Nothobranchius furzeri: one gene and its partners. The protein of the gene in region 1 binds, or shares a complex with, the protein of each later gene. Links are inferred from orthologs where the notes say so. Each region holds a gene or a part of one and is shown on either strand. Other genes may lie near its edges. The genes, in order: ap3d1, arf2b and AP-3 complex subunit sigma-1.

Region 1 (3,655 bases):
GGAAGCTGTCACACTTGTTCTCAAATATGACGGACACAACCACCTGACTGCCATCCTGCAGGTTACCCTGGATGTCGTACGCCTTACGATCAAATGAATAAAACAGGAAAATAAAAGTTAGCATCACAGAGATTAAGCGCCTCTCCCAAGTCTAGTTAGAGAAAATAGTCAAGAAACAAGATTTTAGATGAACATCAGAAATTCCTAGAAATAGGCTGAACACGAGGGGGTAAACACAGAGATTTTCTCAGAAAGAGACCAAACACTGCTGTGCTACAGAGGCATTCGTGTAATCTGCCTCAGAGGACAGCCTGTAAAAAGAACAAGGACAGAGAAAAGCACATCTATCAAAGAGTGTTTAAAATTTTCTGCCTGAGACAGAACTTTAACAAATACCTCGTCAGCGTCTTCCATCATCTTTAAAGAGAACAAAAAGAAAGAAGGCATTTGGATTGATTTTTGCTTCTATGTTGAATGTTTATGTGTCTACGACGTCCAGGTAGTGCCAGGTGTCAAAAATTGAAACGTCTGTTTACAGTTTTATTTAGTAAACTAGGCTAACACATTTTCACATGTGCTCTTGTTCTGGTAATCTGTGTGCATGGATTTGCTAAATAGAGCATCTCAAGTTTGGTGAATTTGAGAACATGTCAGGATTTTTTTTTCTTGAACCAAAAATTCCCCCTCACTTCAACCACAGAAAATACTAGTTTGAGTAAAAACAAGTGATATTTTAAGCTGGACAGATAAGAGTTATTCGCCATTACAGGGAGCAAATTTTGGGACCGTTTACAAGGAGCAGCACCTGAAAATAAATACTCTCTTATTAAAAAACAATAAATCACTAGTTGTAATGCCATTAACATCTGATAATATTTCATGTGATCAATGATACTACAGTTGCTACTAATAATGTCATTGAAATAAGAAAGTCAGGTGTTGAACTTTGCAGATGGTCCCTAAGCAGTAAAGTTACCCAGAGATCGGTCAGCTGCCATCTTTGACGCAAACACACAGCTCAACCCAACAGCTGCTGCACATTTACACCGCTGTTGTTATTTCTCCAGCTTAAAATTCAGCTCCGTTTAATGGAAATTAGATTACAGTTTACTTTTCTATAGTTGGACTGAGGTTAAGTCTGTTCTGCAATGTTGCTCGTCTCGAGAGCCACTGATCCAGGTAATTAAAACATTTCTGGTTTTGGCAATTTAACTAAATAAATAAATACATCACTGCATTTAAATAGTTGTGTGCATACTGTTTACCAAACCGAGAGCACAGATCATGTGTATGGTGTACAAAAGATTTCCCTGAACTTTACTTGTATTCTACACTTGGCACCGATCCTTCTCCATAGCCATCTTTGACACACCTGGTGATTACTAACCTTGTATGGAGAAACATGTGAAAAGTTACAGATAATTCACCTCGTTTGATCAGCAAAACCATTTTTATCTCATTGTTTATTTGCCCATCTGTATTAACAATTCACCAAAACTGAATCAGGTTTAACTCCAATGCAAGAGGACTGTGTCTAATTTAAACCTTTTTTTAAATAGAAACTGTTCTATTGGAGAAACATGAAGACACATTTATGCATTGGAAATTAAACTGGGGAATTAAATGCTCCAACCCAAATGAGGATAAATGGTTGTGGAAAAATAAAGAAGAATATTCTGCAGCAGTTTCCCAATCTCCATCACTCACCACCTTGATGTAGGAGTTCTCAGCCAGCAGGCAGTAATTGGACATGGGCTGAAAGAAGAGAAGAGCTCAGGTCAGATAGGGCGTTCGCAGTCACTCGGTGTGACACCCCGGCAACAGGAGCCTGTGTCATCAAACTGATCTAACGTGTGTGTGTGTGTGTGCGTGTGCGTGCGTGTGTGTGTGTGTGTGTGTGTGTGTGTGTGTGTGTGTGTGTTAAAATTGAATGTTTATGTTTATCAAAGCTTGTAGAAACAGAGGTGATGAACACTTTGAATGTAAACTAAATATATCGGTAAAACATTTTAGGATGTTTTAATACTGACCGGGAGAGGCTCTTCTTCCTCCACAGTCCCATTCTGAACAGACTCCTCTCCACCTTTGTCACCATGGTGATGGTGATGATGATGATGCTTCTTCTTCTTTTTCTTTTCCTTGTCTTCCTTTTCCCTTTTCTGCTTCTTCTTCTTGTGTTTGGATGACTTCTAAACCCCACAACAGGAGCAAAGAAAAATACTTTTAGAAATCTGTAAAACATCAACAATATGTTTAAACACTGAAGAGTTTGACACTTCACGCTATTGCTTTGAAACTGGTTTCAGTGGTTCTTGAGGCTGACATTTAAACAACTTCCAGTTGTACAGCTCTCTGCTGATCAGAAACTGCACCTTACAGTTTTGTGGTTCAAGTAGGAACACTAGAGGGAGGTCTCTACTTGCTTTATGGCAACAGCTGTTTGCTATGACGGTAGCTCGATAAAGGCCATTCGTTAGCTCTTTCAGTTCATCGACCAAATAAAAGTGTAGCACTAGCCACAGCAGGCTGTGGCAGGACCGCTCACGGCAGTTGTAATTATGCTTTAAACCAGGCGGACGGAGAAGCAGGAAACTTAAGTGTTGTTTTAACTGACTAAAATTTCAAAGTGATTGAAAATCTCCTCTCAAGACCAGAGAAAGTTGTAGAAAGATGGCAGGTCATTTACACAAACTTGTGAGAATGAGAACTGTCAATGTGCTGCATCTTGTCAGGCCTTTGTGAACTGGAATCTCAAGCACTGTGGCCAAACTTAGCAATTATCACATTATTGGCAGTGACTCACCGTCTCCTCCATTTCAGTGTCTTTGGGTTCTTCAGGCTCCGAGTCTGGTGTTGTGACAGAGATAGCCCCAGGCGCTGGAGCTGCTTCTGCTGCTGCTACCGTTGCTGCTTCCTGCTCTCACACAAACAGGCAACACACACATACACAAAACACCAAATTAAAAGAATTAGCAAACATGACCACACCAGCTTTGTTCTCCACTTCTGTGTTGAGAGAGGGAAGAAAGGTTAAGAGTCCCAACAAAAATGCCACCAGTGGCACACCAACAAAAATGACGATGCGTTAAACACTAAGCACATCCAACAAACCAACACAAACGGCTGCTCCAAAACTAAATCCTGGTGTGCGAGATTCTTTGTGACGGCGATAACTCAAGTGTGACAGCCAACACGAAAACAAGTCTTCTATATAAACCAGGCTGAAGCGTGTTTCTGGACCAGCTTCCACTTCGGGGCTGATAGCTTCAAAGATAAAACACACACACACCCATCTAACAGACCTGGTTTCACTGAACACTTCTCCTCACACGAAGACTAAAGATGAAAGAGCACTTTTAGATCCCTCGTGTGTCAAAAGCAGACTTATATTTCAAGCACGATATGTTTAACTTTCGCACAGAAAAGAGATGAAGATAAAAAGCTAATTTCTTGATGTAAAAGTATCATAAAATGTGCCGTCCTAAAAAGGTCAACAGGGGTCTCGTAACTCCTCTGAAATCATTAGATTACTCTTATATTTTGTCTTTAGTTGAGGTCATTTTGAACTGAACTGACTCCTGTAGATGAAGTGCATTCATTATAATCAGTAAGTGTTTAATAAGGTATTTTGCTACTACAGACTACTGAATACTAA
Region 2 (2,776 bases), on another chromosome or scaffold:
CTTCTCGTTTGTTTTTGTAAAATGCTTCCAAACCTTTGAGCTACGCTGCCGGCGCGCCATGATATCTTGTTTCTTCTGTGTTTCTGATTCAAATGCTGATCTGGATCGCATGTGCCTCTAGGAAAAAGTGGCGACTGACCCGGACGTGACTACTGCACATGTGACTCGAGGAGAAAGACGGAGCAGGCGAGATTTAAAAAATGCTCATGGAATAAACGACTAGTTGACTATTACATTTATTGACTATTTTGTTTGCTGACGTCATCGTGACGCGTTAACTAGTCATGGCAGCACTAATTGTATTATGTACTGGTTGGCAATATAATCCAGTCTAAATTGCAGGGATGTGTATTTTTTAAATTTTGGCGATACATATCACGATACAGGGGAGACGATACGATATATTGCGATGCATTCAGTCAGACGTTACACGCAATTTTTTTTACTGAATTTGTTGTAAGAATGTTCAATAAACAGTCCAAACTGATACGTAACATGTTTAACATGAGGTATCTGAACCATGATGGAGGGATTTACATTTCAGTGGTGGAAACAAAACCCATTGCACACTGCTGCCAACTAGCGGGTGGTGATTGAATTGCACAAAACGAAAAGAAAATACACAAATGTTTTGCATGTAAATTCTTTCAAGAATTAGATACACGGCTTTAGAATATCGATATAATATTGCAGGAAAAAAATCACGATATTTTGCCATATCGATATTTTCTCACATCCCTACTAAATTGTATTCAAATATAGAGGTTTTTATGAATTACATGCTACAACGGCTTGTCATAGTCTGCTGTGGTGTGTGGAGCACTTGAGTCACTGACTCAGCAGCAACAACCTGACTCTGGGTAGCAGCTGCAGCGGTTCTGCCCCACACCGCTGCAGCTGCAGACGTCCACAAATAAATGGGATAGTGGAGATTTTTCTTCTGCTTGTAGATTCGCTACCATCACGCTTTTTTTCCCTGATCTCCACTTCATCGTGAGCGTCTTTCATGCTAGCTTAGCATTAGCCAGTCTTCCCGTAGTTTAACTCTTTATCCCAAACTTTAGGCTGTTTTTGTCTTTAACATGGGAAGGACTGCCTCCACCTTTTTACCACATTGTGTGCCAGTGAAATGTGCTCAGACTGTGGTGTGCACATTTAACGCTTTGAATCAGTACAAAATTAAGGAGTTTACTTGCTTTTGCCCCCCTAGTGTCCATTTGTAGAAATGAAACCAGAACCTATCTCCTCGGTCTGCATTTGTCTTTTTATCCCTTTAATCTCACAACTGAAGTGTCTCCCAGCATTCCTAAGTGTCTAGAGGGGTGATTCATTACTAAATTAAACAAATCGGCTTTGTTCATGATCTACAACATTTAGGAAATGTTCTGGAACCAGTCTGCAGTGCCAGGTAGGTTAGTTCAATTTTTTAAGTCCTAACGGACAAGACCAGAAACTGATGTTGCAAGTGTGATCTTCTGGCCACAGGGGGCAATAGGGGCTGGGTGGCCTTTCATTAACCCAGTAAAGGGTCATTTTGGCACGTACTGGCTCAAGAAAATGATTTAAAACTTTGAAAGTTGCAAAGTATTCCTTTATTGATTCTAACCATTTGATGTTTCAGCCCTTGTTAATTATTAACAGTGGTCTCAGAAGCCCCCTCCAACCAGGACACATGCTGAAACACAAACATGTTATCTGCTCACACATTAACTTGGTGTGTTTTTGCTTTCAGGGCTTATTTTTGTGGTGGACAGCAATGACAGGGAGCGAGTGAATGAGGCGAGAGAGGAGCTTTCCAGAATGCTTGCAGAGGACGAGCTCAGAGACGCTGTGCTGCTTGTTTTTGCAAATAAACAGGTAGGACTATCCAGGAGTGTTTAGCTACTATAGACTAAAGATTGGTTTTACTGTATTAAAGAGCTCATTTGTGTTTTGTATTTAAGAATGTCAGCTTTCAGATATCGTTGATGATGTTCACCTGCTCTTCCCAGGATCTCCCCAACGCCATGAATGCTGCAGAGATCACAGACAAACTGGGCCTACACGCTCTGCGCCAGCGCAGTTGGTACATCCAGGCCACCTGTGCCACCAGTGGGGACGGTCTCTACGAGGGTCTGGACTGGCTCTCCAACCAGCTCAAGAACCAGAAATGATCCATTCCACCTATTTGGGTTTTTGTTTGTTGTTAATTTTTTTTGTTTCAACACAGCGGCAGCACCAGACCCAGGCCCCCCTGCTCCCATCTGACCTAGTTCTGATCCAGCGCTTTCATGCTTTTCCTGCTTTCCCTTCTCGTCCATCCTCTCGGGGCTCGAGCTTGTGCTGCTCATGTGTGTGAGTGTGTGAGAGTGTGTGTGTGTTGTGTGTTCAGAGAGTGTGGGTGTGAAGGTGTGTGTGTGTGTTGGCTGGGATTAGGAGGAATCCCGGCGTGCCTTTTACACACCTGTGGAATCAGCAGTCTGGTTTTCAAGCCCCCCACCCCCATTCACCAACCTCATTCCTGCCCCCAACCCACCGCCCGGTCTGCCTCCACTCTCAGTCTTGCACGACCCCCTTCACCCCCCACCCTCCAGGCACGGGCATGGTTTTCATACGGCAAAGGAAGAGCAAGGGTGGAAGCCCCACCACCACTAAATCTGTTAACTAAACTCCCCCACCCCCTCCCACTAGATGTTGATTTGAGTTGTCTGATTTTGAACCGACCATCTTAACCTGTATCAGGTCAAAGCAAAGGGGCGCACATCCATGGTTGTTCTGCTGTCATCTGAAAATCATG
Region 3 (3,663 bases), on another chromosome or scaffold:
TCAAGCGCTTTGGAGTCCTTACTCTGACAGGCGCTATACCAGTGCGGGCCATTTATCATTTTTAAAAATTACATTTAAGCTATAATTTCCAGCTATTGCCTGGAACCGGTGCCAACCACGCCGCGATCGTGGGATTAGCCAACTAGTTACCATTAAACTTGCACTTCCCCATGGCGCAACCTCCCACTAGCTTAACCAGCTAACGTGCTCATCTAAAAATAGCCCCCTTTCACAACCGACTGAACGTGTACGGTTCCGCTTACGCCAACATCGTACACAAAAAATGCAGAACACTAACTAGACATTCATGAAAATTTTATAGAAATAAAAGATTCTTGTTTATTGGGTCTTTGGTCATTTAAGAACTCTGGAAACTGTATTTAAGGATTATTTGTCATTTTTACGGATTTTTAAGGCCTTAAATCTGGAAAAGCTAATTTAAGACTTTTTAAGGACCCGCAGATACCCTGGGGGCTTTGAGTGCACTAAAGAGACAACAACGCTGCGACTTTCACCCCAAGCTGCTGGCGCGGCTAACGTCACAAACCTACTCGACAGTCATGACTCACATTCCACCTTCTAGGAAATTGCAGACGTTTTCGTCTCTCTTGGACACCAAGTGGAAGGTTTCCCTGATGATCTGTTGCTCTATGTCTTCATTCTGCAGGATGGATCAAAAAGAGAAGCGGTTAAACAAAAACGAGCGCCGTGTCCTTACTCGGACACGGATCGAGATACTCCACCCGTCCCCTTTTCATCCCGAGGTGCTGAACTCCTTGTGTGAGCAGCACCAGGCAGACTCATCTCATGGCTTCAGGAATCTTTGAAACGTTCTACAGAGGCTAAAATTAAAAGAAAAGGTTTGGTAGTTTTACGTAACCTACAAATCATTTTACGCTCTTAGCTTCCCTGAAGGGTGCTAAATCCTCTCAAGGTCCATCACAGCTCAGCGTTAAGTCATGTGACCCGTCTACAGGCCCGGTAGCACTAAAGGCGGCAGGGCTGGAAAGTAAAAGGTGATTTTTACATTTCTCATGAAGATTCATCTTGATGATAAATGTTGTCTTTTACTGGTCTACATCTGGAACTTTTAATCTGTAATCCTGGTGTTAACCCTGGGATTAGACCTCCCCGAGCAGATGGGAAGCAAATCTAATTAACATGTGCACATATTCCACGTCTCCCATCCAGCTTCTTCGGCTCCATTCCTGTGCTGCCACACCTGTAGCTAGCAGAGCACGACCTCTTCAGTTCTGTCACTCAAAATAACAAAAACAACATTGTGCATCAAGTTTATATTTCCGTGCAGCGTTGACGTAAAATGACAAACTAAGTCAGGAATCGGCATGCTAAAGATAGATTGAGTTAGCGGTAGCTGTGAAATATTAGATCCTGTGAGACGGTAAGCTGACACCTCAGCTTGCAATACAACAGATGGTGTATACAGCCTCCTCTAATCTGATCAATTTCAATTTATCCACCTGAAACTCAAACTAATTCACGTCTGACCTAAAAGAGATTAAATAACACAGAGACACAAAATAAATGTCTAGTTTGCTTAGAAATAGTCAGTGAAAGCTTTGTTTTGTCTCTCAGTGCTGCAGGCATGCTCCTAATAGCGTTACTGTGTGCAGTTCAATAGGCAATATGATGAGTATATTTCAATTACGCCTTAAGCACCAAATTATCACGAATCAAAAAAATTACAGTAAACAAAAAATAATAAAAGGACTTTTTATGCCTGCATTACAAATATTTTATTATTTCTTGCAAACATTTTTGTGTTTTAAAACTCAAAAATGGCAGAACAAGAGCAAAACACAACGGTGGTGCGCGGTAGAACTAAGTGTACACCGCCATTCCCCACACGCTCTGTAATACGGAATCCAGCAATGTTTTTCCTTAGTTTGATTTCTGCACACTACAGAAAATAATCACTATTCGTGCACTAGACTTCCTGCTCCTCTGGGATACCATAGACGCTCTTCTGTGCTTTTATAGCAGCCGCGTCTCTCCTCGAGTCATTCAAGTAGAAGTTTTAATCACCACTAAACAGCATAACTCTGCTATATGTTGATGTAAGTCTGTGCCTGCAGTCTCTTATTGTAATAGCAGCATTAATTAGGTGAAAGGCGCCACTGATCTAAATCCTATTATGATGGCAAGCCCAGCTCCATGTTTAACCCGACAGCTCCATTTGTGTTAAAAAAAAAAACAGCTGACGTTGAACACGAGTTACTCACACGGGCGTCGTTAAAGTCACGTGACCCAAACAGATAACTCTATTAGCGTCACGCAGCTGGACCTGATCGAACGGAACACAGTCCTGTCTCACAGCCCGAGGCGGAATCGGAGAGCCTCGCTTTGGGTTTCTCCTCTTTAATTATTCATCGTTTCTTTAAAGGCCACCGCGGACCAAAAACCTACATCAGTTTATAAAAACATGCACTCGTTTTTTCACAGACCACGCTTCCACGCGCTTCCTGGCCACCGATATTGATTTTGTTGCTAAACATTATTTTGCTAAACACCGCTTTAATTCAGCCTGGAAACACGCGGTTAGAAGCTAAAGGAACACATGACAAGAACTAAAACTGCTTCTTTTTTCTTTTACTCACAAAATGTTCGTAGAATTTAGAAAGCCTTGGTTTCCCGTGGTTGTTGAATATTAAAATGGCTTTAATCATGATTGTAGGTGAACGGATGGAGGCGCGGCGCGCTCAGTCTACGCAAGACTGGTTTCTGGCGGCTCCTGAGCACCCAGACCGGACCGGTTTCGGGGTTGAATCCCGTCTCGATGTGATGTTAGGACGGGCTGACTCGGAGCTACAAAGAGCTACTCCTCCATCGCCTCTTTACGGAAATATTCCACGTCAAACCACCAGTATTCCTCCACCTCCTGCTACGGCGGCTCGGAGGGATTCAAACTTCGACTTTTCTTTTTTTATTTCTTTCTTGTCTCAGGGTGTGATGCTCCAAATGTCCACACGGGGGCGCAGGAGGACATTAAATCAAAGTTCTGACTCAAATCCGGGTAACAGCACCTTTTGTGAAATAAACAAATAAAATATATTAGATATAAATACAATACTACTACTACTAATAATAATAATAAATAAAATAATAATAATAATGAGATAATATGTAAACAACTTATTGTGAATTCTAAGGGAATTATTGAGAAGGTAAATAGTCACACTTGAGTTATTACAGAGGAATAGCTCAGAAATTCACATAAATATTTATTTTAATGACTGAAAATATGTTTATTGCCTGGAGAATTAAATCCAAGCAGCAAATACTAAAACTCTTAATTTAAAATGAAATTAGATATTTAGTTTTTTGTGAATTTAAGTTGTTTTTAATCATATTCCTTTTCAAATGCATGCTGTAATATACATGTAGCTACTATTGTGGTATTAGCTAATGACTGAAATAAAATATATGCAATAAAGAGTGTTTGATAGTTTATTTACTCCGAGTGAATATTGTCATTAATCAAGCCCAAAGGTAATAAAATATAAATACTGTGTTCAATTTCAAAGTTAGTTAGTTAGTTAGTTAGTTAGTTAGTTAGTTAGTTAGTTAGTTAGTTAGTTAGTTCTTCAAGGTATACATACTGCTTAATTTGACTCTGTTCCTGTTCATTCATACAGATTCATT

What was found.
Region 2: the proteins of ap3d1 (region 1) and arf2b are in contact, whole or in part, in a cryo-EM structure (PDB 9C5B), measured with the Homo sapiens proteins. The link is inferred for Nothobranchius furzeri from reciprocal best matches to the Homo sapiens genes AP3D1 and ARF1. Residues at the interface, in NP_003929.4 of Homo sapiens: Lys48, Asp50, Phe77, Ile80, Glu81, Ser84, Asp107, Met110, Leu111, Thr112, Thr113, Asn114, Gln115, Arg117, Lys118; in NP_001019397.1 of Homo sapiens: Tyr35, Ile46, Pro47, Thr48, Ile49, Gly50, Phe51, Asn52, Val53, Glu54, Trp66, Lys73, Ile74, Leu77, His80, Tyr81, Gln83, Asn84.
Region 3: the proteins of ap3d1 (region 1) and AP-3 complex subunit sigma-1 are in contact, whole or in part, in a cryo-EM structure (PDB 9C5C), measured with the Homo sapiens proteins. The link is inferred for Nothobranchius furzeri from reciprocal best matches to the Homo sapiens genes AP3D1 and AP3S1. Residues at the interface, in NP_003929.4 of Homo sapiens: Leu18, Gln19, Val22, Arg26, Cys60, Thr63, Tyr64, Gln66, Met67, Leu68, Gly69, Tyr70, Asp71, Ile72, Ser73, Lys87, Phe88, Thr89, Arg92, Ile93, Leu96, Gln100, His103, Tyr126, Leu132, Thr133, Ser136, Tyr161, Lys164, Lys165; in NP_001275.1 of Homo sapiens: Met1, Lys13, Pro14, Arg15, Leu16, Ser17, Lys18, Phe19, Pro22, Tyr23, Glu25, Asp26, Gln28, Gln29, Arg42, Asp43, Glu44, Asn45, Val46, Cys47, Asn48, Phe49, Ser80, Glu81, Ser82, Glu83, Leu84, Gly85, Leu87, Asp88.

The regions. Positions count from the first base shown.
Region 1 is NC_091748.1:55,651,752-55,655,406, forward strand, and holds part of ap3d1 (AP-3 complex subunit delta-1), read right to left. Parts: intron 2,915-3,655; coding exon 2,804-2,914; intron 2,190-2,803; coding exon 2,031-2,189; intron 1,756-2,030; coding exon 1,708-1,755; intron 418-1,707; coding exon 397-417; intron 83-396; coding exon 1-82. UniProt on the Homo sapiens protein: Part of the AP-3 complex, an adaptor-related complex which is not clathrin-associated. The complex is associated with the Golgi region as well as more peripheral structures.
Region 2 is NC_091756.1:54,229,983-54,232,758, forward strand, and holds the end of arf2b (ADP-ribosylation factor 2b), read left to right. Parts: intron 1-1,732; coding exon 1,733-1,857; intron 1,858-1,991; coding exon 1,992-2,153; 3' UTR 2,154-2,185; downstream 2,186-2,776. UniProt on the Homo sapiens protein: Small GTPase involved in protein trafficking between different compartments. Modulates vesicle budding and uncoating within the Golgi complex. In its GTP-bound form, triggers the recruitment of coatomer proteins to the Golgi membrane.
Region 3 is NC_091757.1:54,248,114-54,251,776, forward strand, and holds the start of AP-3 complex subunit sigma-1, read right to left. Parts: upstream 2,899-3,663; 5' UTR 2,688-2,898; coding exon 2,619-2,687; intron 662-2,618; coding exon 570-661; intron 1-569. UniProt on the Homo sapiens protein: Part of the AP-3 complex, an adaptor-related complex which is not clathrin-associated. The complex is associated with the Golgi region as well as more peripheral structures.